Linked DNA regions of Diceros bicornis minor. The protein of the gene in region 3 purifies or fractionates together with the protein of the main gene of each other region. This does not show direct contact. Links are inferred from orthologs where the notes say so. Each region holds a gene or a part of one and is shown on either strand. Other genes may lie near its edges. The genes, in order: SLC3A2, CANX, EGFR and EMD.

What was found.
Region 1: the proteins of EGFR (region 3) and SLC3A2 purify together in Homo sapiens (affinity purification with mass spectrometry; 4 studies listed by BioGRID and IntAct, with this or other methods). This does not show direct contact. The link is inferred for Diceros bicornis minor from reciprocal best matches to the Homo sapiens genes EGFR and SLC3A2.
Region 2: the proteins of EGFR (region 3) and CANX purify together in Homo sapiens (affinity purification with mass spectrometry; 4 studies listed by BioGRID and IntAct, with this or other methods). This does not show direct contact. The link is inferred for Diceros bicornis minor from reciprocal best matches to the Homo sapiens genes EGFR and CANX.
Region 4: the proteins of EGFR (region 3) and EMD purify together in Homo sapiens (affinity purification with mass spectrometry; 4 studies listed by BioGRID and IntAct, with this or other methods). This does not show direct contact. The link is inferred for Diceros bicornis minor from reciprocal best matches to the Homo sapiens genes EGFR and EMD.

Annotation. Positions count from the first base shown.
Region 1 is NC_080770.1:10,298,073-10,305,036, reverse strand, and holds the start of SLC3A2 (4F2 cell-surface antigen heavy chain), read left to right. Parts: upstream 1-3,941; 5' UTR 3,942-3,945; coding exon 3,946-4,057; intron 4,058-6,964. UniProt on the Homo sapiens protein: Acts as a chaperone that facilitates biogenesis and trafficking of functional transporters heterodimers to the plasma membrane.
Region 2 is NC_080740.1:92,651,342-92,658,379, forward strand, and holds the start of CANX (calnexin), read left to right. Parts: upstream 1-4,028; 5' UTR 4,029-4,164; intron 4,165-4,460; 5' UTR 4,461-4,526; intron 4,527-5,222; exon of another isoform or gene 5,223-5,355; intron 5,356-7,038. UniProt on the Homo sapiens protein: Calcium-binding protein that interacts with newly synthesized monoglucosylated glycoproteins in the endoplasmic reticulum. It may act in assisting protein assembly and/or in the retention within the ER of unassembled protein subunits.
Region 3 is NC_080780.1:11,022,630-11,030,331, forward strand, and holds the start of EGFR (epidermal growth factor receptor), read left to right. Parts: upstream 1-4,700; 5' UTR 4,701-4,919; coding exon 4,920-5,007; intron 5,008-7,702. UniProt on the Homo sapiens protein: Receptor tyrosine kinase binding ligands of the EGF family and activating several signaling cascades to convert extracellular cues into appropriate cellular responses.
Region 4 is NC_080781.1:138,282,727-138,289,626, forward strand, and holds EMD (emerin), read right to left. Parts: upstream 2,914-6,900; 5' UTR 2,748-2,913; coding exon 2,666-2,747; intron 2,542-2,665; coding exon 2,434-2,541; intron 2,271-2,433; coding exon 2,193-2,270; intron 1,977-2,192; coding exon 1,843-1,976; intron 1,387-1,842; coding exon 1,340-1,386; intron 1,260-1,339; coding exon 941-1,259; 3' UTR 512-940; downstream 1-511. UniProt on the Homo sapiens protein: Stabilizes and promotes the formation of a nuclear actin cortical network. Stimulates actin polymerization in vitro by binding and stabilizing the pointed end of growing filaments. Inhibits beta-catenin activity by preventing its accumulation in the nucleus.

The DNA.
Region 1 (6,964 bases), on a different chromosome or scaffold from region 3:
AGGACTCCTTCAGCAGTGTATATCAGGGGGAAAAAACCCCTTCAAGGTCTAATAGTGAGGCTTCCTGAATGATGTTTCCCCGGGCTAGACAATCCAGCAGTAGGCAAACTGCCAGGCTAGGTTGGGCAGAGCCAATAACAGGAAATTCTCCTAGCCTATTTCCTTCTGCTCAGCTAGACCCACTCAAACACACAAACCCCAGTGAAGGTTAAAAAAAATTCCTTTTATTTAGAAAGGCTAAAATGGCTGTATGCCAATTTGAACAGCTAGGTTGTATAAGAAATAACTTGAAAATGCCCTTTTTGATGTCTTCTAAGAGCTGGATTCCTGTAGAGAAAAAGAAAAGTGAGTTTTCTTACTGGATGGGAAAGACTATATGTACTATGAGTTTATAAGGGGCTACACCCCACCAGTTAACATTAAAAGGGCTGGCCTCCAGGTACTTTTATCATGGTTAGTCTATTAAATACTAAACACCAACATATGAACAAATACTTACCATTTTATGTGCTTTGATCTTTCTTCAGTCCTGGAAAAAATTATACAAGTCATTTTTTAACAAGTGATTTATTTTTCCCTTTCCCATGTTTAGAAACCCTTATGATCCCTCAGACAGTTCCTTCTGGAACAAACTTTCCTCTTCTCCTCCAGCTAGCCCCAGTGGGTTCACCTTTACAGGCTCTGGGACTAGAACAGGAGGTAAGACGTGTGAATGTTTCTTCACTGGGAAATTTTAACTTGGCCCAACCTTGCATCTGAATTCACTTACCTCTAACTTCAGACCGCAGTTGAGCAGAAATATGGCTTATGCTCACCCTGCAAAAGAATGATTAGGAATTAAGTCTCTCAACCACCCCTAAGAGTCCCTGTTGCTTGGAGAAAAGGCACATCTGTATAGGCTATGTAGGTTTCAACACATTTCACAGAAACTGCCAGCTAGTCCACAAAACTTCCTATTATTGTCACTTTCACTCCAAGACAAGCTCACAGCTCAGAGAATACCTTTCAGTCACAGTGATCAGACTGGGGCGGTATTGAACTCATCACTGGTGAGTGGGCATTTGTCACAGGTGGTTCAGGAATGGCCAGTCATGTCTCTGAACAGCTATCCAGACCAAAGTAGCACGCACACAAAAACTGGCAAATTTTATATAGCAGCCAGATAGTGCTGTGAAGGTATTTACCTCAAATCATTCTTGGGCTTCAGACAAGGTGCTGGACCTGAAAGAAACAAGACTGAATCAATAATGCTTACCTCTTGCATTAAAAGTTGTTCCCACTTAAGCCACCATTCCTAGAAAAATCAGATTTCCGAGTCTCAACAGCAAGTTATCAGCCGAACGAGATTCCATGTAAGTCATCATATACATAGACCTAAAAAGGCATTTGTTTCTACCCAGTGAGCTACATACACCAATACATGGTAATTACTCACCTCTGAGCAAATAAGCAGGCTACTGGAAACAGCACCTAGGGAAAGACAAAGCTGTGGGTGACAAAAGTTCCTTACACATGGTACCTCCCCTACTGTGTTCTCCAGTTTCTCAGGTGTTCATGTGTTTTCATTGTGAAGTCATAGTGAGCTAGTTTGCTTCATCATAGAAACTGTCTCCTTGGTGGCATAAACCATAGAGACATTAATCAACTAACCTTTTAATTCTGGAGGCTTTTCAGTAGTATACATTAACAAGCTGCTCCTGAATGAGAAAATCATGTAATTAGCAAAATATCTAAAACAGCCAAAGCTATTCTAGCTATGGTTAGTGGACAGGCCAAGAAATGCTAAGCAAATGCTACCAACAGGCATTTGCTGTACCTCAGACAGTTCCTTATGGAACAGGTTCTCATCCTCTCTCCCAGTTAGCCCCAGTGGGTTCACCATTACTGGCTCTGGGGCTAGAACAGGGGTTAAGACGGGATGCTTGCTTTCCTCACTGGCACTAGACTCTGGGTCAAGCTAATACCAGCAAGGTTACAAGTACTCACCATTCTCAACTCCTTCCAGGAGTTCGACCTGGGGCAGATCACTGGGCATCTAGGAGAAATAAGAGGCAGTCAGGGCTTTGGTAACAAAAAAAGAAACCCCATGATGACAAGATTATCCTTTGGATGAGTTCACATATATGCTAATTTACCACAGTATCGGGAGAGGCAACTTACCGTGAGATGAATTTATCATCTGGATGACCTGCAAAAGGGGAGCAAATGGTTATTAAAAGATACTAGTATGGAATAAATTTCTTCATTAATAGAAACTGCCATCAGAACTCTAACATGCTATTAACTGTCGTACCTCATGGAGGATCAGCATATCAATTCAAATCATCTGACAGTGACATGTGGATGAGGGAAGAGCACACCCTCACAAGAACCAACTGTGCTGCTGGGTTGCTCTCTCCCCAGGAAAACCATTCCAAGAACAAGCTGGAAGGAGCAAAAAGGCAACACTGCTCCACTGACCATTTGCTCTCCCGGTTGTGGGGAACACGGGAGAGATGACACCCCAATCCATTTGAACAATTACCTGTATTCACCCTGGGAAGCAGCTGAATTCCTCAGGACTGGTGACGAAATGCTGGAGACAGAAAAGCAAAGCATTATACGTACTTAAGAATAGCCATTCAAAGACCCTCGGTACTCTCGGCCCACTTCTCAGTAGTAAGATGACATCACTTTTAAGGTCAGCCATATGCTTGTCATTTTACGTTCATCATGGAGTGGCCAGCACAATTTGAAAGAGCAAGTTCCATCGAGACACTGTGCCGTTATCCATAACTGCATCAACCATTGTGTACCCACCTGGAGCATCACTGTAATGCTTGAATCGCACAGGAGTAGGTCTTGTCCCATCCTCCAACCTGTAACGTCTTTTGAGCCGAACCACATCTGAAAAATACCAAGAGCACCCTTTACTTAGCTAACATGCGACAACCTAACCGTCCCATGTTAGCGCCTTAACAGCTCAGAGCTAAAAAAACCCAAACATTTGCTGCGGATGGTGCTACTCAGAATTCTTACATTTTCTCCACTCATCCATCAGAGAGAGAGAGTTCCATTCCTAAAATCATCCCCGTAGCACATCCCATAGCACATCCACACACTCGACAATGGAGAACAGTGGTGGAGGATGGCTGTAAGCACTTACTCTAACAGGAGGCCTCTTTTCCAGGCTTCAGCGTTAAATCCGGCGCCTGCACCCTGCAGACAAGAGGACATTAGGTCAGCATTGGATACTTTGCCAAGGCCTCGTTTTCCGACTGCGTCGGACTTCGACTGTGCACGGCCCGTCTCCTCAGAGTTTCTTATCCTCACGGAGCTCAGTACAGGTCTGTGAAAAGGCTTCATCATAGAGACGGCCGCCGTCCCGGCCCGCCATCGCCATCTTGTCCTTCACAAAGCCCCGCTGCTGCTTCGACGCCTCGGCCAAGATCTCGTACCCCTCTCCCACCAACCAAATAGGTGCAGCACAGGGAGGCTTAGCAGGCACCACGGTCACCCGGTCTTTTTTAATGCTGGAAACCACACACTTACCAGAAACAGTGGAGAAAAATGAGGCCGAAGGGTCACAGCGAGACACTTAAATAGCACCTCGCAGGGGCCCACGGGATTTGGGGGGGGGGGGGCGGGACTATGGCGCGCGCACGCGCATAAGAAGAGGGCGTGCGAGCCTGGGGAGTTGTGGGTAGAGAGGGCGACCATTGAGTGCTCGTCCGCAGAAGGTGAGGCGCGAAAAAGGTACGCATGCGCCTGAGGGAAGTACGTAGACGCGCGCATCGCTTGCAGCGGGGTCTGTGCTGCGGCTTTCCGTTGAGTCTAGAGCGTTGGGGCCCGGGCTTCACGCCGATCCTGGTCTGAAGCTGTCTCGGTCACAGCCGCCTGTCCCCACACCCTTCCTTGAGCCCTCCTTGCCCACACACCCTAAACGCACGTGCAGGGTACGCTTTTATGGATCCCAAACCTCCTGAACCCTCCAGCGGCGTCGACTCGGTTCCGCACCAGCCGCCCAGCGCGCATTCCGGGCCTGGTGCTCAGGGTCCCAGCGCGGGGGGCAACTCAGGTACTGGGCCCCGGGCTGAGCTCGGGTGGGTGCCTTGCATGGAGCCGTTTCGGGAAAGTGCATTAGGCCGTAGGTGCTCCACTTGAGTCTTAGGGCAGGGTCTGATTTTTCCAGACCGGCCACGTATGTCCTGCTGTCTCGTCTGGTTGGGACCTTGGAGCTTGTCTTGTAGCGGGGCTAACGTTAGCAAAGATGTGGAGCACTATTTTAAGCACACTACATGAATCAAGTACTTTAGTCCTTCTAAATCCCAAGAGGCGGGTGCAATAACTACCCCTCTTAATAGATGAGGGACCCTAGGTGTAAAGAGCTGTTGCAGAGCAGCCTACAACTCTTTCCTGGTTGTCAAAGTGGTTCCAGTCATCTATAGATTGTTGTTATTGAGACCAACCAGCATTAGTCCAGTCGTTTGTGGAAAACACCTAGTGCACGTTTCATAAATATTTACTAAGCTCTTACTATGCGCTCTTCTGTGTGACCTCACCTACTAGTACTACAACCCTAGAGGAAGGTATTAAGGTAACGTTCTAGATGAGGAACCTGAGGCCAGCAGAGGTTAACTTGCTCTATGTTATCCAGCTAAGAAATATCAGAGCCAAGGTGCAAATCCAAGCAGTCTGATTCCAGAGCCTGCTCTTTTGACCGCTGTGATTTATTACTGTCATCACACACTGTTCTCAGGGTAGTCAGGGAACAAGCTGATACACAGGAAACAAATAAGAGTGATCCCTGGGTACGGTTTCTCAATCTTTTTTCATTGTTGTCTCCCCCTCCCCAGGAGGCTTAAAAAGACATTTTTCCCTCTAATCCTCCTCCATGAAATTTTAATACCACTGATATACTTTATATCTGCTTATGTACTCTGGCCCTTTGGAGGGCCAGAGACCTTTTTAATGTCTAAGATTTGTCTGGAGGAGTTGTCATTTCACTCAGAGAGGGCCTCTCTGATAAGGGTGACGTTTAGGCGGAACTCTGAAGGAAATGGAGGAGAGAGCCAGGTGAGGTAGAGTGTTCCAGGTAGGACTGGAGCGCTGGACTGTGCTTACAAATTTGTAGGTAAAATTACAGGTGGTGGTTAGGATTTTTAAAATAAAACTGGAGAGATTTTATGTATGTCAGGGAGAGATTGAAATTTGGTGGAAATAATGCAGATTTCATTATCCATGGAATAAATGTTGAAATTTTTTTTCCTTTGAATAAGGTAGAAAGGGGATGTTCCACAAGCAAAGAATGTAGTAGTCAAATAAAACGTGTGTGTGTGTGTAAATATATCTGCTTGACTGGTGCAAAAAAGCTGGAGTGTCAAGTAATAAGAAATGAGAAAAACAAGGTGAAACAATTGGTGGAGAATGTTGAATGTTAATATATTAACATCTTTTAAGTGTTTTCTATGGCACTTTCCAGACACTGTACTAAGTGCTTTATACATATTACCTCAATTCAAAAAATAGTAGTTGTTGGGGCCAGCCCAGTGACATAGCAGTTAAGTTCACGCACTCTGCTTTGACAGCCCAGAGTTTACAGGTTCGGATCCCGGGTGCAGACCAATGCACCACTTGTCAAGCCGTGCTGTGGAGGCGTCCCATATAAAGTAGAGGAAGATGGGCATAGATGTTAGCTCAGGGCCAATCTTCCTCAGCAAAAAAGAGGAGAATTGGCAACAGATGTTAGCGCAGGGCTAATCTTCCTCACCAAAAAATAAAATAAAATAGTAGTTGTTATTGTTACCATCCCCCATTTCACAGATAAGAAAACTGAGTTTTACGTTAAGTTACTTACTCAAGAATACATAACTAGTTTGGCAGAGCTGTTATTCAAATCCAGTCTCTACTTTTGTCCCTATTAAGAAAATTACCCAAAACTTGGAAATAGGCACAAGTGATTACTAGGTGTCTTTTGATGTAAAGCAGGCTCACCCAGCTTGAGGATTATCTGATTTTACAGCGGTGTGTACCCTTGTTTGATGTCCTATTATTGCTTGGGTATTTTACAATTGTATAAGATTGCCTTCTATGACATTAGTCAGTTTTATATCTACCTATTAGCAAATCCACATCAGCATTCTTTTTTTTTTTTGAGGAAGATTGGCCCTGAGCTAACATCTGTTGTCAATCTTCCTCTTCTTTTTTCTCCCCAAAGCCCCAGTACATAGTTGTATATCCTGGGTGTAGGTCCTAGTTCCTCTAAGTGGGATGCCGCCTCAGCATGGCTTGATGAGCGGTAAGTAGGTCCGCGCCCAGGATCCAAACCAGTGAACCCAGGCCACCGAAGTGGAACAGGCGAACTTAACCACTACGCCACTGGGCCAGCCCCCTGTATCAGCATTCTTGACTGATAATCCTTTCCTAAAATTCTCTTTTGAATCAATCTTGAATCTTATTTGTTCTCTTATTAATTAATTGGTTGAATAAAATCTTTGACCTGCATTCATTTTGTATTTTTATGAGTCATGTTTTAATTTTTTTCAATTATACTTTAACAACCCCTGGGGTATGCTGCCTTACTCCTCGGGTATGCTGCCTTTCATGGGTCCATTCATTTATTCATTCAAGAAATATTCATTGAGAGTCAAGATTTAAACTCAGGAAGTCTGACTCCAAAATTGGAACTTTTAGACAGCGTGTTAGCCCTATTTTAACACCATGCCTCCCTCCAGCTAACATTGTTACCGCACAAAATTTGTGTTCTCTGCCCAATGAGCATAAACCAGACAATTATTATGGCATCAACCTTTGAGGGGAGAAATCAGCTTTTATTCTATGAAATCAATCTCCAGGGAGACAGGGGGCGTGTGCCCTCAGATCTGTCTCCCCGATTCAGGTTTTGGGACACAATTTAAGAGGTTAGGGAGAACAGTTTGGCCCGCGGAAATGCTAGTGGGACGGGTTTTTTTTTGTTTGTTTTTTT
Region 2 (7,038 bases), on a different chromosome or scaffold from region 3:
CTTACAAACCAATGTGAAAAAGACAAAACCTATAATAGAAAAATGGACAAATGACGTGAATAGACAGTTCACAAAGGAAGAAATATATATGGTTAATGAATGTGAGAAATGTTAACTTCACTGTAATAAAAGAAACTTCAGTTAACGTAATTACATACCTCAATTTGACAATGCCAGATGAGTGTGGGTACAGAGAAATGACCGTTACTGACCTAATCAGTAAGAAAGGACTGGATGGGTATGTGGGGTGCTCCCTCTGGCTGGGTGCCCACTTTCTCCTTTAAGCAAAGGAAGGTGAGGATGAGCAAGGATGAGGGTGGCTTTTCAGGAAGGTGGGAGGGGCAAGTTGTTATAAGAAGTAGCTGGATAGGAAAGACAAATTGGTCAACAATTTTGTTCACAGTGGTTTTAAATATATATTTTATCTTTTTTTGGAAAATTAAGTATAAAAGCAGAAATTTATTTGATCCTTTATTGAAAAAATAATATACACATGTTATTAAAAAGGCTCCTTCTCACTTCCAGGGTTTCAGGCCCCCTCTTCAGCATCAATCACTCTTAGCAGTTCTCCTGCATCTTTCCAGTAAGCTTGTTTGTCCAAGTTCATATTTATGAAAATATATCTCCCTTTGAAACATGAAAGGAAACATTACTCAGTGCTTTTTCACATAACACTAAATCTTGGCAATCATTTTATATCAGTACATATATGTGCTCACTGCATGCTCTCCAGCAGGACAGAACCATTACATGGATGACCTATATTCTATTTAACCAGTTCTCTATGATGATAGGTTAGGTTGTCTCTAGGATTGGGGTACTACAGACAATGCTGCAATGCACATCATTGTGTATACTTTTAAATACAAGTACAGTATGTGGATATATTCCATCTATCTATTGTATCTATCTATCTTATCTATCTATATATCTAGATATATTCCCAGGGGTGGAATTGCTGGGCAAAACGTATGTGCATTTTAAAATGGATATAAACAGTTTATTTTGAAAACCATCTTACAGATTATATCATAAGGTTAAAATACATTCAGCCCAATCTCCCATACCTTCTACATCTGAGAACTATAAAATGATTATTTCTTTTAATGAAATACTCTAACACCTCAAAGTACCCTTTGAATTATCAAGAAAAGATCTCATACCCTTTTCCAGCTGGAACCATAGAGGATGTAGAAGAGAAGAAAAAGGCAAAAGCTTGAGAAAAAGTGGAGGAATTTCACAGAGCTGACAATCAAGCACCTGAGAAAGAAAATTGCCCAAAAGATGCTTCAAAAGGCAAGGCAGGGGCCGGCCCCATGGCTTAGCGGTTGAGTACGCGCACTCCGCTGCTGGCGGCCTGGGTTCGGATCGTGGGTGTGCACCGACACACCGCTTCTCTGGCCATGCTAAGGCCACGTCCCACGTACAGCAACTGGAAGGATGTGCAACTATGACATACAACTATCTACTGGGGCTTTGGGGAAAAAAAAAAGGAGGAGGATTGGCAATAGATGTTAGCTCAGAGCTGGTCTTCCTCAGCAAAAAGAGGAGGATTAGCATGGATGTTAGCTCAGGGCTGATCTTCCCCCCCACCAAAAAAAGGAAAGGCAAGGCGGAAGTTTGTCTACAAAAAAGCTACTCTACACTTCACCTCCTGTCACCCAGGCTCATACTCTGAGTGTCTGCTTTGGTTCCTCTCTTTCCCCAGCCTGAGTCCATTCTTCAGTATCAACATTTAATGCTTTTGTTTCTATACAACCTGCCATTCCCTAATCCTGCCCTTGAATCAACTGCAAGAAGTAGCTTCCTAACTGGCCTCATAGCTGGTAGTCTCTCTCAGAACTTTCAGAACTCCCTGGAATAATATTAACATAATGCTTCCTAAATATCTAAATCATGACCTAAATCCAAAATCTAAACTATTTCCCTACAAACTCTTTGGCCAGGCCTTGAAGGCCTGCTCCTAACCCGACTCTGGAGCTGACTTCCCATCACTTTCACGAACACCTTTCTCCAGCCAAAACACTCGTGTGTGCGGTGTCCCCAGACATACGATACCCATTTTCCTGCCTTTGTATACGCTGGTCCCTCGTGTAAAGAAGCCTGCCTCCAACTCTCCACCTATAGAAATCCTGCATATCCTACTAGGTCCAGCTTAAGTCTTACCTCTTTACCTGTCCATTCTAGACAAAAGCAGTTCCTTCCAGCTCAAAACCCCATTAAATTTTCTTCAGGATCACCATCTTTTAGCATTTACCTTTGCTGGAGGAGCTCTTTTGCTCACACAGTTTCTGTAACTACCTTTTAAGCTCATTGTCCAGAACATGTGGCATCCAGAATATTATTCTGCCTTGAATATCCACTTCCCCAGGTAAACAGGAAAGCAAAATTCTCTTACACAAATTTGGGGGTTGAGAGTTGGAGAATACTAAACTCATGCAAACACCAATCTCTGACCTCTCTTTTCCCCTTCCAGGTAGTGGGAGGGAATAAAGCTGGATCCTAGTGATAAATAAATGGCAAGCAATAGGATATATCAGAGCATATGAGGAAGCCATTTGGGGTAAAACTAGTTCTGCCTGAGTTTGTTTTTCCAACAAGGCCTGTCGCCTTTAAACATGCATTGTGTATCCACTTTACCATGTCCCAAAGAGAAGAGTAAATGCCCTTAACATAAGAATGCAACTTCCCCCACATTGGCATTTCCTTAAGGATAAGTATTTCTCACTAGGCTAGGATTTGATTGCTGCACTCATCCTGTGACTGCCCAGATTGAGACAGCAGACCTGCTCCCCACTGTGTCCAACAGCTATTCCGCCAGGGCTATTCTGGCAGGGCAATCTTGTGGCTATTGTAAAAGGGACTTTGCCATCATATGTGATACATGTTCTTTGACAGTATATAACGCTCTGTATACCCCACTTCTTTGGTGGCCTTCCTTCCTTGGGGAAGGAAGGCCCAGGCTATGGTCCTCAAAAGTTGGCTCATAATAAACTCACCCCAATTTTGAATTATAGATTATGGATTATTTACATGGACACTAGGATAGGTGATACACCTACTGGTTCTAGTTTTTTCCACCCTAGTATTCAGACTTCGGGTAACCAAATGACAGACCGAGACCAGGACCTATAAACGTCTAGGAAAACCTAGGCCACTTCCATTTTCTGAGGTTCTAAGCATATTGAAAACTGAAGATGTGCTAAAAGTGGGTTACAAAAATTGTAGTGTGTTTGAAACCTTTCCATCGCACCACTGTTTTCTCCTAATCCTGTCGGGTGTCTGTGCCCTTATGTCTAATCTAACTTCAGGAAACATCACAAATTGAAAGTTGAAATAACCTTGGATTATAGTATTCTAGACTGGGTTTTATGTTGGGTAATGAGGCCGCTGCAGTCTGCTGGGCCCAGAGCGATGACTCTGCAGGAACGCCGGCGCCTTGTTACACAGCGCTGTGCACGACTCCAGGCCGGCCCGCAGAGCCGCTGCGGCTTCCGTCCGGGCCCCGCACTAGCAGAATCGGGGAACTGGCCCTTCCCGAAGGCCCTCCCGACCTCCCACCTCTTCTGCCGGCTGCCATTTGCCCCCTCAGCGAAGGGAACGGGATGCCCGGCCCGGGGACCGGGGCCCGGGTCCAGGCACCAGCAGGGTCCGGACCACACACGATGGGACAAAACGCCAGGCACAGCGCCCACTAGGGCACCACGGCAACCAGGCGCGGGAACGTCCCGTGGACCGGCCCACCCCAGGGCGCGCGCGCCCGCAGTTCCCTATTCCGCTGCGGCCCGCCCCTTTCTTCCTGCCCAACCAAGAGCCACTTCCTGCCTCACTCCTAGCCAATCCCCACACTCCACGAAGAAGAGCCCTAGGGGGCGTACGGGAAGGTGCATAGAGCGAAGGCCGCGCCGACCAACCGGATCTCGGAGCTTGCGCGGGGGGGCGGGATTTGGTGCCGGCCGTAACTACTCAGGAGCGAGGGGCGGACGCAGGGCCGGGCTTAGCGCACTGAGGCTCGCTCGCGCGGCGGCAGCGGTAGCCGAGGCCTCTTGCATCTGCGGCACGTGACGGTCGGGCCGCGTCTGCCGCTGTCTCGGTTGCGGCGCGGGGCCAGGTGTGCGGGCGGGAGAAGGAGCGGGTGCCGCCGGCGGTTCCCGGAGGCTCGAGGTGAGACGGGAGGCCTGCGCGCGTCCTCGGTCTCTGAGGACCCTGGGGCCTGGGTGCGCGGCGTCGCGGCCGAGGGGCCAGGGGGGCCGGGCGTGGCCTGGCCAAGGGGTCGGGCTGGGTTTCCAGGGCCCAGGCCCCGGCGGAGGCGCCGGCCGTGAGCTCGAGGCCGAACCTGGGCCACTTCGGTTGGGGCGCCGGGCCGAGGCCGCGCGCCGGCGTCGGGAGGCGTGGCAGGTGCCCTGGAGCGTCTCTTGACCTCTGGGAAAGCTAACTTCGTCCCATGGCTTTGCTTCTAGGGCTTTCGTAGGCCTTTTGCTGGTTGCCTGGGAAGCCGCGAGGTGCGCTGGAGTAACCGGGTAAAGGTCTGGAGTGGGCTTGGGCCTAGTCGGTACCCCTAGGGTTGGGGAAAGGTGATATCGGACCGAGAGAGAGTATTTAGGATTAGCATTACAGGTTCAATATCTGAAAATAAACCGCAAAGCGAAGACTGGACCCTAGCACCCTGAAGAGTATGGAGAATGTACTAGAACACGCAGTGGTTGGAACACTTACGTCCTAACATTTACACCTAATCGGGAGTGGGGAGTAATCCAGTTGGAAATTCACCGGACATTAAAAGCAGGAAAGCACCGAAAAGCTCACTGTGGGTAGGTCGTTTTATAGTGGAGGAAACTGAGGCCCAGAGCTCTGATATGACTGGCCCAAGGTCATGCGGTTAATTTTATGATCCCGTTGGGGTTATGGTTGAGAGCTAGACAGTTTTGGTGTAGTGGTTAAAGTGAAGGTCCTTGTTCAAGTCCTTCAGTAGGTCATTTGTTGCTATGTGAACTTGGACAATTTACTTACCCTTTGTGCCCCAGTTCTCCCTAAGTAATGGATATAATAATAGCTGATGGAGTTGTTAGAATTAAATTAAAATGTGTATAAAATAGGATAGGGAAATCTGATACATATTAACTGCTCCATAAATAATGATTGCAATAAATAATTGTAGTTTGAATAGTTTGTCTACTACACTGACATCCTACTCTTTGAGTTGGGTAAGTCCTATTTTGCAGGACCTGAAGTCACATTTATGGTGATGGGAGGAAGAAACTGGACCTAGTGGATTAACTGTTGGGCATGACACAAGTGATTGCTGGTTGAGGGAAGTTAAACTGAGCTGAACATTAAAAGCTTGGGAGGACAAAGGTGAACCACAGTTAAGTCTCTTTACCTCTAATTTAGGAAATGGAATATTTTGCTGAGTTTTTTAATAAGTAGAGTTTTGGGGGTTTTTTTAAGGGAAGAATTCTATTAATCTTTAAAAGCATTCTGTATCATCTTTTTCCAGCCATATTTGAGGGTCATAAATAGAATCAATGCCATGTTGTGCATTTGCTATAATTATATTTAGAGCAGAGGTAAAGAACTGTGGGAGAGTTCTCCTTTGCACCAGCCAGGGTGCACATGCAAACAAGCCAGGTAACAGGATCATGAGAAGGCAGGAGTGAACTGTGTACTGGAGTGAATGTATCACACAACAGACACATTTTCTGACCTATCTGAAAATGGGTGTCAGCATCCCTCCCCACATTACTATCTTAACTTGTCAGTTCAACTAGTACATTATCTTCAAGGACCACAAGGGGTAAACATTTTGACAGAAGTAACTATAGTTTTGGCAGTCAGGCTATTGCATCCTTTTAGTTACAGAGTTCACTTTGCCCTGCGAGATAGCTTAAGGGAATGAAGTGGTAGTTGGTAAGCATAAATGTAGGCTCAACAGGCTTGAATTCCAGGCCCAGTGTGGTAACTAGTTTATGAACCACCTTGGTTTCCACATCTTTAAAATGGAAATGAGAAGTCTCCTGGATCCTTTACTATTAGGGGGCTATTGAGAGGGACAAATAAGATGGCGAACATGATACTACTTTGAATAGTGTAATGAACTGTGCAAATAGAAGAATTGGCAGCTCATAAAAACTCCTAGGAAATAATAAAAGTTCTTGAACGTAGTTGTAGCCTATATAGCCTACTCTAGAACTTTGTCAGGAAAGTGCTGATGAATGCTTTGTTACCTGCAGCAGATTTGCTTTTAAATTAATGTTAACTGTGAGCTGTGAAAATTATTTGGAGAATTTTGTTTTTTAAAGAATTTTTGAGAATCTTCAGCAATATGTTTTGAGTATTCACATCTTAAACTTACTTAGTTTATAGCAAAAAAGAAAGTGCTATGGAAAAACCAATTCTAATGTTCCTGTCAATGAGAAACAAAATTCAAAACTGTAGACAAGGCAGTATATGTCTATTTTTAAATGGCTAAGCATTTACAGTGGTCTTTACTTGTTTTCCTCTTTAGGTGCTTTTATTTTTTGACTAGATGCACATGTAGTAAAATCAGAAGGTGCAAAAAGTAGTAGTAAAATGGTTTGTCTGTGACTGGAGTCAAATTCCTTTTAACTGGTTCCTTTCCAATGTAAGACTTAAAATTTCTTATTTGCCTTAAAATTCAGAGTTTTAAATTTTATTTATTTTATTTTTTTCCCCCAAAGCCCCGGTAGATAGTTGTATGTCATAGCTGCACATCCTTCTAGTTGCTGTTTGTGGGATGCGGCCTCAGCGTGGCCGGAGAAGCAATGCGTTGGTGCGCGCCCGGGATCCGAATCCGGGCCACCAGCAGCGGAGCGCGTGCACTTAACTGCTAAGCCACGGGGCCGGCCCAAAACTCAGAGTTTTAGAACCATTAAAACTTAAATGGTGTCTCTGGGCAATACCTAGTAATAGTAGAAATCACTGCTTATGTTGAGCATGTACTGTAAGCCAGGCACTGTCATAAGCACTTTACGTGCATTTTGTTATACAACCACCCTAAGAAGTATATATAGTGTTGTT
Region 3 (7,702 bases):
CACTCCAGTGCCAGCTCATGGTCAGCTCATGGTACACAGTCACTGCACATGCACCACAAATTGAGAGGTAGACCCTTCTTTCTCTATTCTTCGACAAGAAAGTATTTGTCTCCAGCAATTTTTCATTGGTTTTAAGACAAAAGTGTAACCTGGCTCACAGGTGGTCAGATATACTCATTTCTGATCAGTACCATATATATATGCCTACAGAATGTTAACCATAATAATGATAAGGTATAATCATGAGCTTTGATAAAATTTGTGCTTTTATATTACTCCATATTTGAAATATGCTAATTTGAAGTGAGGTCTATCATGATATATAATGTATTATGACCTCTGGACCAAAATCTATCAACAAATGTAGATGAGATGAGGAAGAATGAGTTGGATAGAGAAAGGAAGATAAGGGAGAGAGGAAAACCAGAGATGAGAATCATACCTATAAAGTGGCAATAGCATTATTTAACCAGGAAGGGTGAGGCTGCAAACTTGAATGCTTACAGTAGCCACGCAGGCCCCATGAACTGGTGAATCAGGCTTGGTGGTGTTGGTGAGAGCTGGAGACTTAATGTCCTTTCTGAAGGGGACAGTTATCACCCAGCCAATTGCCATCTTGCATGAAAGCAGACCCAGTTGGCAGTTGGCCAGCACTTCCCATTTTTCAAGAGAAACATAAAATTTAAAATCATATTTTAAATATGAAATCTCCTGATTTTTAAATGATGCCATTAATTCAATTAAAAGAAATATTGAGTGGGCCCCACAAAACCACATCTGTATCCTAAACTTGGTCTGCAAGCCACCAGTTGCAACCTTGAGGCTAATATTTCTAATGATAACCACCCCTGAGACAAGTAGTGACACCTTGGACAAAATTATTTAATCTCAGTTTTAAACCTTTAACATAGGCAAAGCATTGTGCAGGGTCCAGAAATTTCCTATAAGATCCCGATGCAAAGTAATTAACAAGCAACAAAGCCAGAAACTAATGTTCAAAACAGAGATCCTGCTTTCCAAGCATTACATAACCCTCAACCCTAGAGATAACGATAAATACTAATGACATACAACACTAATAAGAATACTAATGACAAATGAATGCCTCAGCAGTTTTGTGTCAGCATATTATCCCTGAGAAAGAAGTTGTTTCTTCCATATTCTCAACTCAGAGTCAAGTGCATATAACTTGACTCAAAAGAAGAGAGCAAATGGCGGAGGAAACCAAGAAAGGCTGCCACCAGGAGTGCCCAGGAACCTCAACAAGGTCACCTACTGAGGTCACTGACCCTTACCTTACAGAAATAGGCCATGCCTGCTCACAGTACAAGATTGCAAAGGTATAAATGGACAGACAGTTGAAAAATAAGTCTCCCTCCAAACCCTGATCTCCAGCTACCTAATTATCCTCCCCAGTGGCAACCCTGTTACCACATTCTTGTGTCTTCTTAAAATGTATCTTTAGAAGAGCTGTTGAGTCCATGTACATTGAAATAGAAGCCTATGTTAGAAATGCATGTTCCCACGGAATTTTAGGATTGGAAGGGACCTGGTTCAGTCCTTAATTCACAGTCTCCCTTAGCACTGCTCCTGCATACAAATCTTTCTAAGGATGGAGAAACTCATTCCACTCAGAGGCAGCTCATTCCACTTTTAGATAGCTCCAGTAGTTTATAAAAGATAATTTTTTTAATTCTGAAATCTGCCCCTCTGATGTTTTTCCTCATTAATCCTTGCTTTGACCTCAAAGGCCAGAGAAAACAGGTGGTCAAATGCCTCTGGCCTAAGACGGAACTCAAAACATTCGAAGCCTTCCTATCATCATCCTGCAAAATAACTCCAGTTTCTCCTCTCCTTCCACAAGGTATGTGATTTCTGGGGATTCCCTGCCATGTTCCTTCCAGAAAAGATTAAACTCATTTAAATACTCAGAAGCCTCTTCCAAGAGGAAAAATGCTCATCAGAGAAGGAAAAAAAAAAAGTTTCCCATTTGTAGATGGCAAAGAGAATGAACAGCTTGTGTTAGGAAAATTGACAGCACATATGAGAGTTAATGTGGGATATACTACGGTTGCAGTACATGCTTGCTAATATGGTGTACGTGGATGCTTTATCTAGGAAGTTTTTGGCCAAGCAGAAATTTTGGTTGTACCTCCTCTAAAAAGTTTCCAAGATATTCTGAAACAGAATTTGGGGTCCCAAAGTCTCTATCTGTCTCAGGTTTAGAAAAGTTGCAGCAAAAGAGTAAAGAAGAACATGGCCTAGATTTGGGTTCAAGGCTGGCCTCATACTAGCAAGTACGCTTGGGGACTTCGGACAAGCGATTTATTTAATGCTGCTAAGACACAGCATCACCCTGTCATAAAAGGCAGACAAAGGTGTAACCTGGCTTACAGCGGTCAGATAAGCTCATTTCTGATCAGTACCTAGCAGCATGCAGCCAGGGTTCCTGGTGCTGTTCCTGTGGCGGCAGCCTTCGCCTGGGATGTGGCCTGGGATGTGACTTGGGATCACTCCCTGCAGAGACTGGATGCCCAAGCACCCTCTATGCATAGCTCAGCCTAGGCAAGGCTCCGTTTTCTCAAGAGGATGTCATTTCTGCCAGCTTGGCCATTAGTTTTTTTACTTAACAAGTAACACAGTTATCAGTACACTCCATGTACCTGCCAAGGGGTACAAAAGCATCCTGAATGCCTCACAAGCTCAGAGCAGAAACTCAAACTTAACACAGGTGTCCCAGGAGGATCTTTAACTCACCCGTTCCTCTCCCTTCGCTGGGATCAACCCACTATTGGGTTGTGTGCCTGAAGTGTCACACTGTCTCCTTGGGGAATTGTTTTCACAAAGCTCTGCTTCTTGAGATGCCATCAGATCATGTGGAGGGACATTATAAGAAGACAGCACCGTGAAGGTGGTGCTGTCTATTCTAAAAGCAGTCAGTGAGAGCTGGGATACCTTCACACACTGTGTGCTTCGGGGGATTCATGGGATAAATTTCTATGCAGTCTTAAAGATTAGTTGTAGCTTCAGTTGATTAGTGTATTAACATATGGACAATAGATTTGTGCCACCTCTCATGTTTCCTTGACAGATGGCTTAGAGCCAAATCGGTGGCCCTTGCTGAGGAAATGCAGGACCTGGGTGTGCGCAGGTCTTCTCTAAGACTCTCTCCTGGCTTCACTCTACCTTCCACTGTTGTGTTTCCAGTTTGACCTTCTCTAATTTGTGTAATTTTTCTGTAGCTGTGTCTTTACATACTTCTTGAAGTCCTTGTTCGGAACATGTGGAGGGAACCAAACCCATAGCCTGCAGAATCTTCATAGCCTTTTCCACCCAGGGGCTAAACGAGTTCAGAGGGCTCAGTGGTCTTCCTGATTTCTTAAAACAAATGAACACAAATGACTCTCAGTTCAGAGGAAAAGTCATGGGCTCTGTGGATGGTGAGGAGCCCGGTGCCCTACCCTTGCTGGGTGGAAAGGAAGGATGCACAGTTCCTCTCCTCCATGGACAGGAAAGGTCCCAGTCTTAACTCCATTTCCTTTAGGTTTGTGATCCCTTCTTCAACAGTGGGGAGACCAGCGCTGAACCTGCCTGAATGTCACCAGTGGATCTTGGGAGGAGAAGAGGGGATTTGGTTGTAAAATGGGGCCTGAGGACATGTATCCTGTGGGCGGAGGGGCAGTGGGAGTAGGGCAGACTTCGCTGAGAGAGTTGAGCTCAAGTTCCTGCAGCCCGAGAAAGCATACTTTCTTCTGGCCAAACGCTTAGCAGATTTCCCTGGCTTTTCTCCTGCTTGGGTTACGTGTGCTGTCTCAGGACAATGGGGCACCTGGCTTCTCTAAAAGTGTAATTTTTCGCAAAGTTTTGCGAGGTAATTTACCCCATTTATTTGCTTTTCAAGTACCCCTGGATGATTCCCGGCATATGAAACGCTGTGGGTTCCCTCGGTACTCATGCATTCATTCAACAAACATTTCCCAAGGCCTGTCTCTGTGCCAGGAGTCGGGTGCCCTCATTTCAGACGATTTCGAGGGTGACAGGATCTGAAGGCCTCTCGTACCTGAGAGCACCCTCTCAGACACCTGGCACAGCAAGGCGCAGCAAAGGACAACTAGGCTGCCAGGCTAGCCTCCGACCCCCCACTAGGATCCCGGGGTGCTGTGGAGGAGTTGGGGGCCAGAGTACAGGGGTTTTTTTCCTCATCCCATCCTGGGCCTAAGGCTCAGCTAGTCTGCCCAGAGCTGGTACAAGTTCGCTCCTCAAGTTAGAGGGTGGGGCGGGGAAATGGGAACCCTGTACAAATGAGGATCGACGAAGGCTGGCCCCGGAGAGAGCAGGGCGAGTCCTCGCGGACCGGGTCCTGGGGGACAGCGCAGGGAACGCCCCACTCGGAAGTTAACTCTTACGGGCACCCTCGGGTCCCGCACGCCGCCCCCGCTCCCGCCCTCACTGAGCGCTCGGGCCCACGGGGGCCACCGCCGTCCCCACCTCCTAGTGGCTGCCTGCCTGTGGTCCTAGCTGCTGGCTCTGCCTCCCTCCTCCTCGTATTCTGCTCCTCCTCTGCTCCTCCCGATCCCTCCTCCTCCTCCTGGTCCCTCCTCCTTCCAGCCCAGCCTTCGCTCCCGCGCCCCCGCCCCGCGAGCTAGACGTCTGGGCAGCCCCCAGCGCAGCGCGGCGGCCGCAGCCTCCGCCCCCGGCACGGTGTGCACGCCCGCGGCCAGGGCGGCCGAATCCCGCGCGAGCCCCGAGCGAGCCCCGGCCGCCGCCTCCCGGTCCGGGCAACAGGCTACCTCCGCGTCCGCCGGAGTCCCCGCCTCGCCGCCGCCGCCGCGCACGGCGCCCGACTCCGACTCCCACTCCGACTCCGACTCCGTCCGGGGCTAATTGCGGAGACCCGGAGCGAGCGTCTCGGAGGCAGGATGCGATCGTCGGGGACGGTCGGCGCCGCGCTCCTGGTGCTGCTGGCTGCGCACTTCCAGGCGAGTCCGGCGCTGGAGGAGAAGAAAGGTAAGGGCGTGCCCCCCGGCCCCGCGCCGCCGTCCCGGCCCAGCCCGCGCTCGGCGCACCGGCTCCGCGTCCCGCGCCGCCCGCCGCTCCTCTCCTGTTTCCTTGAGGGTCGGCTGCGCCTCTGGCCGGGACCGTGGGAGGCAGTGGACGTTTCGTTTCTGGGCTGGGCGAGTCCGCGGCGGCCCGAGGAGGGGACACTCCGGACGCGGGGCCGCGGGGCTGCGGGCGGGTGTGGGAACTGTCGCCCGGAGCTCGGCGCCCGGAGCGCTCGCAACTTTCCGGCTTCACTTTCCTGCCTTCCTGCGCGGGGTCGACGGCCGAGGGAGAAAACTTGACACGGGGTGGGCGCGGGGCGGCTCGTGTTTCCGCACGTGCGCCCCGGGCTGTCACCTGGGGGTCCAACCGTGCCGGGGGACTCCCCCGAGGGGCTTAGGGAAGCTGAGGACGGACCGGCGGGAATCCACCCCACTCCTCTCCGACCTCCTGGGACAGGAGCGGACGCTCCGCGTCTCACACTTAAGGTGGCTCGCTGCACCCGGCCTTGCCAGCCTGGGTCCCGGCCCCGCTCTTGGGTCCTTGCAAGCCCTTTTCCCGGGTGTGGAGCCGCAGCCTTGAACCGGGAGGCCGGAGAACTCGTCTGCCACTACCTACCTGTGGCTACCGGGAAGGGAGGACTTAGTTTCGTCTTCGGCAAGAGAAGGAGGGTGAGGTCGGACCCCGCCTGGGGCGCAGATCCTTCGCTCCGCGCGGTCTTGCTGCCGCCCCGGGACCCAGGCTCCCTGCCAGCCCAGAGCTCCCTCCCCGGCGCCCTCGCCCCTTGAGCGCGTGGGTCTCGTGAAGTGGTGGCTTCCTGGGAACTCTCGAGATTTGGCCCCACCTGCTGCCCTTTGGTCACCTCTCTAGGCTTTGCGGTGGAGCTGGACAGAGCGGTGGGACCGGCCGCGGCTGGACAGCTGGGTCCTGGTGCCGACCTCTCTGTGGGCGGAACCCATCTGGCCAGGTCCCCATAGTTTTTCAAAATAAGGCTCATAGCAAACTTTCCACCTCAAAATCCCCAGATTTTTTCTTTGGGATGTTTCTTTTAGCTTTTTGAAGAGTATGACATTGGGCCAACCAAAATATTAAACTTAATTGAAAAAAGAAAGGACTGATATCCATGGTGCACGTGTGGCAAATGTCCAGACCCAGCCTGAGCGAGTCTGGCTTCGTGAGTACCGACCATATAGGCACTTGACCTGAGAAACATGCCTCGGAAGGTTTAATTGCACAGTTTCAAAATCGAGCAGCCCGGGTTCCAAGAGTCAGGTCTGTACTTGCTGGTGATGCCATTGGCACAGAGAAGAGGAGTTTGAGGCTGAGTGCGTTTGTTGGGGGAGCGTTAAGGCATAAAGCAGTGGTTCCCAAACTTTGTTGCAAATTAGAATCACTTGGGATTTAAAACGAAACAACAAAAATCGATGTCTGGCTCCCACCTCTAGACATGCTGATTTCATTGGTCTGGGGTGAGACCTGGGCATCCGGGTTTTTAAAAGCTCCTCAGGTGATTCTGTTGGATAGCGAGGTTTGGGGAACCCTGGCACAGAGGAGAGATTGGTCAAGTCTTGGGAAAGATTACCTGCCAATGTAAGGAGCTCTTTTGGAACTTCTGGAGTTCTAACAATCTTGCAAAATGTGGGACAGAGGAGGTGGGAGGTGATTTCAATACTAAGGGATTAGTCTTTTCCCTGAAAGCTTTTCCTCTCTATGGAGGCTGCAGGGTTCTGCCTCCTCCGTGCTGTGCCCCAGTGGCTGTGAGCCTGTTCCTGAATTGGCTGACTGCAGGGTTCTCTGAGGCAGGTGATCTCTCCCTTTTTGCTGCAGGGGACCCCATCCTTATTCTAGATTAAACTCTTAGAGCGCCTCCAAAGCATCACTTCTCACTCCAGAAATGATCCCAGCTCATTGCTGTTACCTGTTTGAACACTGCTATTAGTGCTTGGAGATTTGTTTCTGAGAAGAACATAAATACCACTTATTTTGCCTGTTAGTCCCATATTTGCTTAAAACAGAATGCTCCTGAATAAAATAGTGAGTGTAGGTGAACACATGTCATTCAGTTAAAGTAACATGAAAAGACCAAATTTAAGGAGCAAATTAGTAAAAATATAAGATGAGGTCTTTTTACAAAAAGCGTCGAAGACTCATATCAATCAAATTTAGTCAGTTTTGTTCAGGAAAATTTACTCATTTTAAAGAGATTTATTTGGTTCTGAGATATGGTATCTTCTGTTCTTTGTTGCACTTAGTACTGTCAGACACTGTTTCAAGTGTCCTTTTAGTCCTTACATCAAGCATGTGATGTGGGTACCCTCATTATATGTGAGGAAACTGAGGTACAGAGAGGTAAAGTGACTTTCCCAGTTAGTAAGAGGCAGAACCAGGATTTGAACTCAGGCCTTCCAGCCCCAGAGCCCTCCCTCAACCACCTGCCTCCACTGCCTTGCGTGAGTCCTGGTTTTAGGAAAGCCAGGGTAAGTGTGTGTGAGCGTCTAACGTCAGATGCTGGGACAGGGAGGGAAGGGCCCGGGAACAGGCTCGTTAGGAAGGCCCCTTGTGTGAGTCTGTTCACGGTCTAGACTGCTGCTCACAATTACTCAGTGGTCACCGTGGCCACCTTTCGTGAAGGCAGCTGTCACCAAATTAACCGTGAACTTGG
Region 4 (6,900 bases), on a different chromosome or scaffold from region 3:
AGGAAGGTGGGCACAGATGTTAGCCCAGGGCCAGTCTTCCTCAGCAAAAAGAGAAGGATTGGCATGGATGTTAACTCAGGGCTGATCTTCCTCACACACACAAAAAAATAAATAAAACAAGCAGCTTCCTGGAAGAAACGGCGGCAGCCAAGCACATGCTTTGCTTCCTAACCATCTCCCACCCTTGGACACTGGGGTTGGCATCCGCTTGTCCCGGGTAAAAGATCCACAGCAGGCTGTGCATAGGCAGCCTTGCCTGCACTTGGGGTGGGCTCTCCACGCTCCATGGTGCCATAGTTATTCTCATGATTACCAGAGCTTTGAGTTATGAGTCAGGGAACATACCCCATCAAGCAAAGCACCAATGTGCTTTGATTCACGGGTAGGATGTGATTCCTAGGCCAAGGCCAAAAGGGGGAACCCACGAAGCCAGATGGTGATTCTGGAGACCAAAGCTCAGAGGCCCCGAGCCAGGGGAGCCCAACCCTCTCCCAGCAGAAAGAGCCCACACTTTTAAAAATAAATGGTCTTTTTATTGTGTGTCCACGAAAACAAAGTCAGGGTGGCCTTTGGTTAATCCCCCCAAAGAGGTGACAAGGAGGCATGCAATGACAACAACAACCACATTCTCCTCTCCAGGAGAAGGGTCTTACCCTCCCGGGCCCTAAGGATCAGAGGCAAGTGGGGCCAGGAGGCTCCGGAGGAAGGCCTGCCCAGGCCCACTATGCCATAGAGGGCCTGGGCGGGCTGCCTCCCTCTCAAAACAAGGCAGGACAAGGCAGGGGGAGCAAGCACTGCCCTGGGCCAGGCCCAGCACCCCCAAGCTAGAACACACAGAGAAGCACCCCCCCACAGCCCCCCAGCAAACACTGCTAATGCAGTCAGCCAGGACTCCCTCCCGAGAGCAGCTGGCCCCGAAGCCAGACCCTCAGGGCTCCATTCAGAAGGGGTTGCCATCGTCAGCCTGCATGGAGTAGTAAACAAAGAGCAGGAAGGCTGCAAAGACCAGGAACAGGAGCATCTGGCCCCAGAGCGGGACCTGGCAATCCTGGCCCAGAGCCCCAGGGGCCTGCTTTTCTGGCCGGATGGCACGGCGGGTGAGCCATGAAGGGTGGGGAGCTGAGGATGAGGACACAGGAGAGGTGGAGGAGGATGTGGGGTAATAGGACAGGCCCAGGGAGCTTCTGGAGATGCTGGAAACGGGGCGGTAGTGCGCGATGCTCTGGTAGGCACTGTCCCGGCCATACATGGGGCATTCCCTGAGGCAAAGAGGGAGCAGATGGGCCAGGAGGGCCTGGGCCCAGAATCAGCCCAGCCCCTGGCCCTCCCTACCACTCACCTATCTTTACTCTCCTCTTCAGAAGAGAAAAGACTGTCATCACGCACCTATAGAAAAGAATCAGGATGAGGAGAAAGGCTGGCAGGGTCAGTGTGGCCCTGTCACATCCCTCAGTCCAAACTTCCCCTGCTGGCCTATCCCGCCCATTGCTTAGAGGCCCAGGCCCTGCCATACTCCAGAACCCTTCTGAGTTCCTGGCCTTCATTCCCTGGGCCCTGGCCACTTGCTCAGTGACTGTCCTGGCTGCCTGCACCCTACTTTCTGCCCCAGGATTCTCAAAATAAGCTCAAAGCTAGATCCAAGACCAGGGTGCAGGGCATGTCCCGTATGCTCCAGTCAAACAGTTCTGACAGCCCGCCGAGGGCCCTGACCAGGCAGGTGTCTGCTGACCCCACCTCTCCCTGGAGGCTTGGGAGACACCATTTGCCCCCTTGACTTAGCCAAACCCAGCTCTGACCCCCTCAGGTTGTACACAACTACAGACAACCCGACAGCCGGCTCACCTGGTGGTGAAAGGTGTCAGCGTCTGAGAGTGAAGCCGAGGGCTGGCGGAAGCCCTTGGACGTGCCCACAGACTCAGGCTCCCCGTAAGTCCTGGTGCTCAAGTAACTCTCCTCATAGTAGTCATCATTATAGCCTTAGGAAGGGGGCAGCAGTAGCAGAGCGGGCAGCGGTATCCCCGCCTGGCCCGATGGCCCTAATCTGAATCCCACTTTGGGGCCTGTGACATGGTTTCTCCCCTCCAGGGCTGCTGAGGGACGGCGGGGGTTGAGGTCTCAGGTTCTCCCTGATACTGGGGTCCCTGAGGGAGTGGAATGAAGGTGTCAGGGTGCCCACCCCACGCCTGCCTTACCCTTGCTCTGGTAAAGTAAGGCGTCCTCTTTCTTGGGCAGATCGTACATGTCCGAGTCCACGGAGGCTGAATCTAAGTCTGAATGAGGGGGCCACGACCATTTGCCCTCAAGGCTCCCCTCCCTTTTTCCCGTGTCCCTCCCGGCCAGCGTTCCTGCCACACCCTCGCGACTCTGTTCTCCCCGTCGCCCAAACCCTGTCCCCACGGGCCGCCAGATGGGGCTCTGGGTCGGGGGCCTCACCCGAGAACCGGTAGGAGAAAGACGATGTGGAAGAGTTTGGAGGCGACAGCCTCCGCCTTTGGGTCTCGTACTCGAAGATTTTCTTTTCGTAGAGCTTGCGCGTGGAACCTGGCCAAACACGGGGTGCGGGGCGGTCAGGGGGGCGGGCTGGGAGCCCGGGGGCAGCGCGGGGAGGGGGTCCCGGAAGGGGACGCGAGGGCGGAGCGCGGGGAGGTGGCCTGCCACCGCGTACCCACGACAGGCCCGTGTGGAATGTTGTACTGGCGCAGCACGGCAGCCAGCTCGGCGTCCGACAAGACCGCGTAATCGTCCATGGTGCGCGGCTGAAGCCTGGGGGCGACTCGGGCCTGGAGACACAGACCAAGCTACGGCTGCCTCGGGAGCGGCTGCGCTCGCGTCACGCCTGCGTCCGCGTCACGCCTGCGTCACATTCGCGCCCTGGACGCTGGCTCTGCGAGCTGCGCGCGCTGCGTGGGGCGGAGCCAGGCCGCGGGGAGCAGCCGGAATAGACCGGTCCGATCGTGGGAGCGGGAGGGGCGGGGCTGGCGAGCCCAGACGTCTCAAACAGGCAGGATTGGCTAAAGGCGAAAGAGGGGCGGGGCGTGCGCGGGAGCCCAAGCGGCTCAGACCGGTCCGGCCGTGGGAGCGGGCGGGGAAGTGTGCCCGGGGGAAGGGGTGGGGCCGGCGAACCAGGAGACATCACTCGCTGGTGCTTCTGGGCGAGAAGTGAGGAGGGGCGGGGACCGCGCGCAAGGGGAATGGGCGTAGACCTGCCGGGACTTGAGAGCGGGGTGGGGTTGGCGAGGCAATATGTCACCCGCTGGCGTGTTCCGGCGAGAAGCGAGGAGGGGCGGGGTCTGCGCGAGGCGAACCGGCAGAAACTAGCCAGGATGTGGGAGCCGGCCAGGGCCGGCGCGTTTGGGGTGCTTGCTCTCCCTGAGTCACGTGGGCTTCACTCCGTCCCTACGGCCTCCGCCACTCCGCCCTCACCCCCGGCCCGTTCCCAGGCTCCAGCGCCTGGGGTTCCCCGGCCACGCCCCGAGAGCAGCGGGAAAGTGCCAGATCCTAAGAGCGAGTCCTTGGACAGCGCGGTCCCGGGCCAGGCGCCCCTGCGAGCGCTTTGCGCGCGTGCGCCACGCCAGGGAGGCGGCTGCCGGCGGGGCCCGGACCCTAAGCCGCCCCCCAAACCCCCTGCCGCAGGCCGGCCGGTGGCTCTGCACGGCCCTGGCCTGCGCACCTGCACCCGCGGGTCCCCACCGCCTCCCTCCGTCCCTCCACGCTCCACCGGGAGGAAATGGGGCAGTGGCCCAGGAGGCCGCCAAGCACTCCAGGAGCAAACAGCCTTGGAAGGGGCCGGACGTGCCAATAGGCACTGGCACGGGGCGCCGTGTGATGCGTGCAGAGACAGCGAGTGTCCGCCTGACCCACCATGACGTCCACCTGGGGCACTGGGGGTTTCCTCTCCTGTCAGAATGGCCCCTGAGCTTAGTGTGACCCAGGAGGCGGCCAGGCAGGGTCAGGAGGGCCCTTCCAGACCCACAGGGACCTGCTCGGGGGTTCCAACAAGCTTTCGCAGGCTCTCAGCACCTGGGTCTGGGTAGGCTTCAGGGTCCTGGTAGTCCAGAGGGGGCCCTGAGGACAGGGGGGCCAGAAGACTGAGCGGGGACCATGGAAGGCTGCCATGGCCTGCCAAGGTGGCTGGACCTTCACTAGGAGTTGGTGAGGGCCTTGGTCAGTAAAGAACTGTCCTGTGGAAATTGGAAAGGAGGTGATAACCATGTTCTAAACCAAGCCAACTGATAGAGTATGGGGCCAACTGAGGTGCCCCTCCCCAGGCAGGCCCAGAACTGGGAGCACGGGGTGATGAGGAGCTGTCCCTGGTCTCAAATGACAACAGGTGATAAGGGGAGAAGAAGAGAGGATGGCTCTGCTCAGACCCAGGCTGGCTGCCTAGCTAGTGAGGGTCACAGAGCAGTTCTCCATGGAGGTTTGCTCAGCGGGTGGAGAAGAGGTAGCCACACAGGGAGTGGTGAGGAGATGGGGTCCTGGTTTGACCCCACACAAAGACCCTCAGAAGAGTTGCTGTGGGCCAGGTTTTAGAGTAAAGGCGAGGCCTGCTCTGTCTCCCGGAATAGGAGGAGGAGGTGTGTGGGTCCCCAGACACGTGCATGGCTGTAGAGGGGGGAGAACCCTGGGCACAGCAGGGGCTTGCTGCTTATCTTTCAGAGCAAGGAGGGAGATGGCGTTTGGGCTCTGGGCTGCTCAGAAGCTGCCTCCTGGAATTTTGAGTTTTGGCAAGATCAGACTCCCCAGCACCTCTCCAAGCCTTCTGTGGTGCTGGCCCCTGTCCCGGAGGCCCAGTCCTCCCCCATGCCACCCCTCCCCATGTGGATCCAAGTTGTTTCCTTATGAGGTCAAGGAATTCTAGGTTTGCTTTCTCCCCAAGGAACACCCCCTCTCCCAGCACCTGCCTCGGCACTCTGCCTTTTATGACCCCCCCGTTGCCCTGCTATGAGGTCCCACCATGGATGGCCCCAGGAGACTGAACTGCAATGGTCCCCTGCGCCCACCCGGTTAGCACCTGGAGCCCAGGTCCAGCCCCATCGCAGTGCAGACCTGTCCCAGACCACCAGAAACCATGCGAGCCCTTGCCCATCAGTGCTGAGAGGCCTGCACCATTCCATCACACAGAGGGGGAATCAGGAGAGGGAGAAGGCTTGCCCAAGGGCCCGATTCTCCCATGGATGGCATGGGGGAGTACCTAGTCCTCGGGGCAATGACCTGGCCAGTGTGGCCAGCGCGGGTACCGTGTCATCAGAGGGCCTGTTGGGGGAATCTGTGGCCTCCAGGGGAGTCTTCCTGGGAAGGGTGGGCAGAGTTAAAAAAGAAGAGGAATTTCTCTGGAACCACAGCTGAGGTGAAAAGGGTTAGGAAGCCACAGATTCCAAGTCAAGAATAAGAAGACAGTTTCTCTTTCAAGGATGGGCAATGGCTCCTAAGCAGTACATAGTATAACTTGGAATCCCAGCAAGATTGAAAGTTATAGGGGAAAATAATACCAACATGAATACATTTGTCAGCATCCATGTCCAAGGAGCCAGTTGTTCACTGAGCTATTAATGTTTTCTTTAAGGTCAGAATCTTAATACATTAGTACAATACAAAACTTAACTTTTCTCTTCAAGGATGTTAAAGATCCTTTGAGTTTCGCTTGGTATTTGAATGCTTTGAAACATTGCTCAGATAGTAACAAAAGTCATAAGATGATGATTATTGTGAAAATTAATATGTGGAAGATTGTCACAATTACAATCAATATAAAATGGGGAGTGGTCAGTGGACCAAATGCGTCTCCAAGAATGCCTTGTGACCCACCCTAGAACACAGCAGTTCATCTTGGTACTGCTGGCACGACCAGTTGGGGATTCGGCCTGCCTTAGCAGCAGGAATGTAGCTGATTCTAGCGGTTTTCCAAAACCTTCAACACAGGAGAAAAGGTCTTTAATTGATTAGGATCTTCACCAGGGAACAGCTGGTGCTATACAAACCTTCATTCCCCTTAAACCTGGAAGAAGTAGAAACCAAGAGCTGCGCATGTTTTGTGTGTTTTGGAGTGTGTGTGCAGTGGGAGGGAGGCAGTAGTGTAAAGAGAGGATTTAAATGGAGGTGGGGGCCAAAGATCCAGCCACATGGCCACCGCCTTGTTTGTGCCCCCCACCTATTGTACCCCTGGCTCCGACTGCAATGCCTGTGGTAGGTGGGTCTCCCTCCTTGAAGAACAGCCACCTCATGGACCTGAACTCAGGCCACTCACCTATCAAGTGACCATAACCCACTGCTCACCCCAGCAGTGGGGGGGGGTTCCCACCAGAGGGAGCAGGGAGGGACATGGAGCCCCTGGCACTGCTAGGAGATCCCACTGTGAGTCAAGGTGGAAAGGTCATTGCAAGCAGAGCTAACAAAGGCAGCAGTGGCTGCAGGGAGGCCTGGAGGGCAATCAGCGCCTTCCTGTCAGTGTTCAACTGTAGATGGCCAAATGCATTTAGCAGGTGTAACCAAATTTCTTCCTGCCTCCCTCCCTTCTTTTCTTTCTCTCTTCTAATGAAGTAGAGTAGAATAGAAAATACCAAGTGCTTTTTGGGTAGTGAGAGAAAGTCTCCTTTTCTGGATCGTTTGTCTCAGTTATTTCTGTCAATCTGTGTATGTGTGCTTGCACAGCTGGGCTCAGGATGTCAAATGTAGTTCTTATTGGGGCTTGTGGGCAAAATGTTAAAGTGACACTGCTTTATGTGGCCTTCCCCAAGGAAGTGACAATTGAGCTACATCTGAAGCTACCAGGAAATGGGCACATAGAAGAGGAAGAGGGAGCCTGGCAGTGCCAGGGCGTGGCTGTGCCCACCCAGTTCACGAACACTTGGCTCTTTGGCTGCAACCCACTGCACGCTCCCAGACTTTGGGACTGCACCT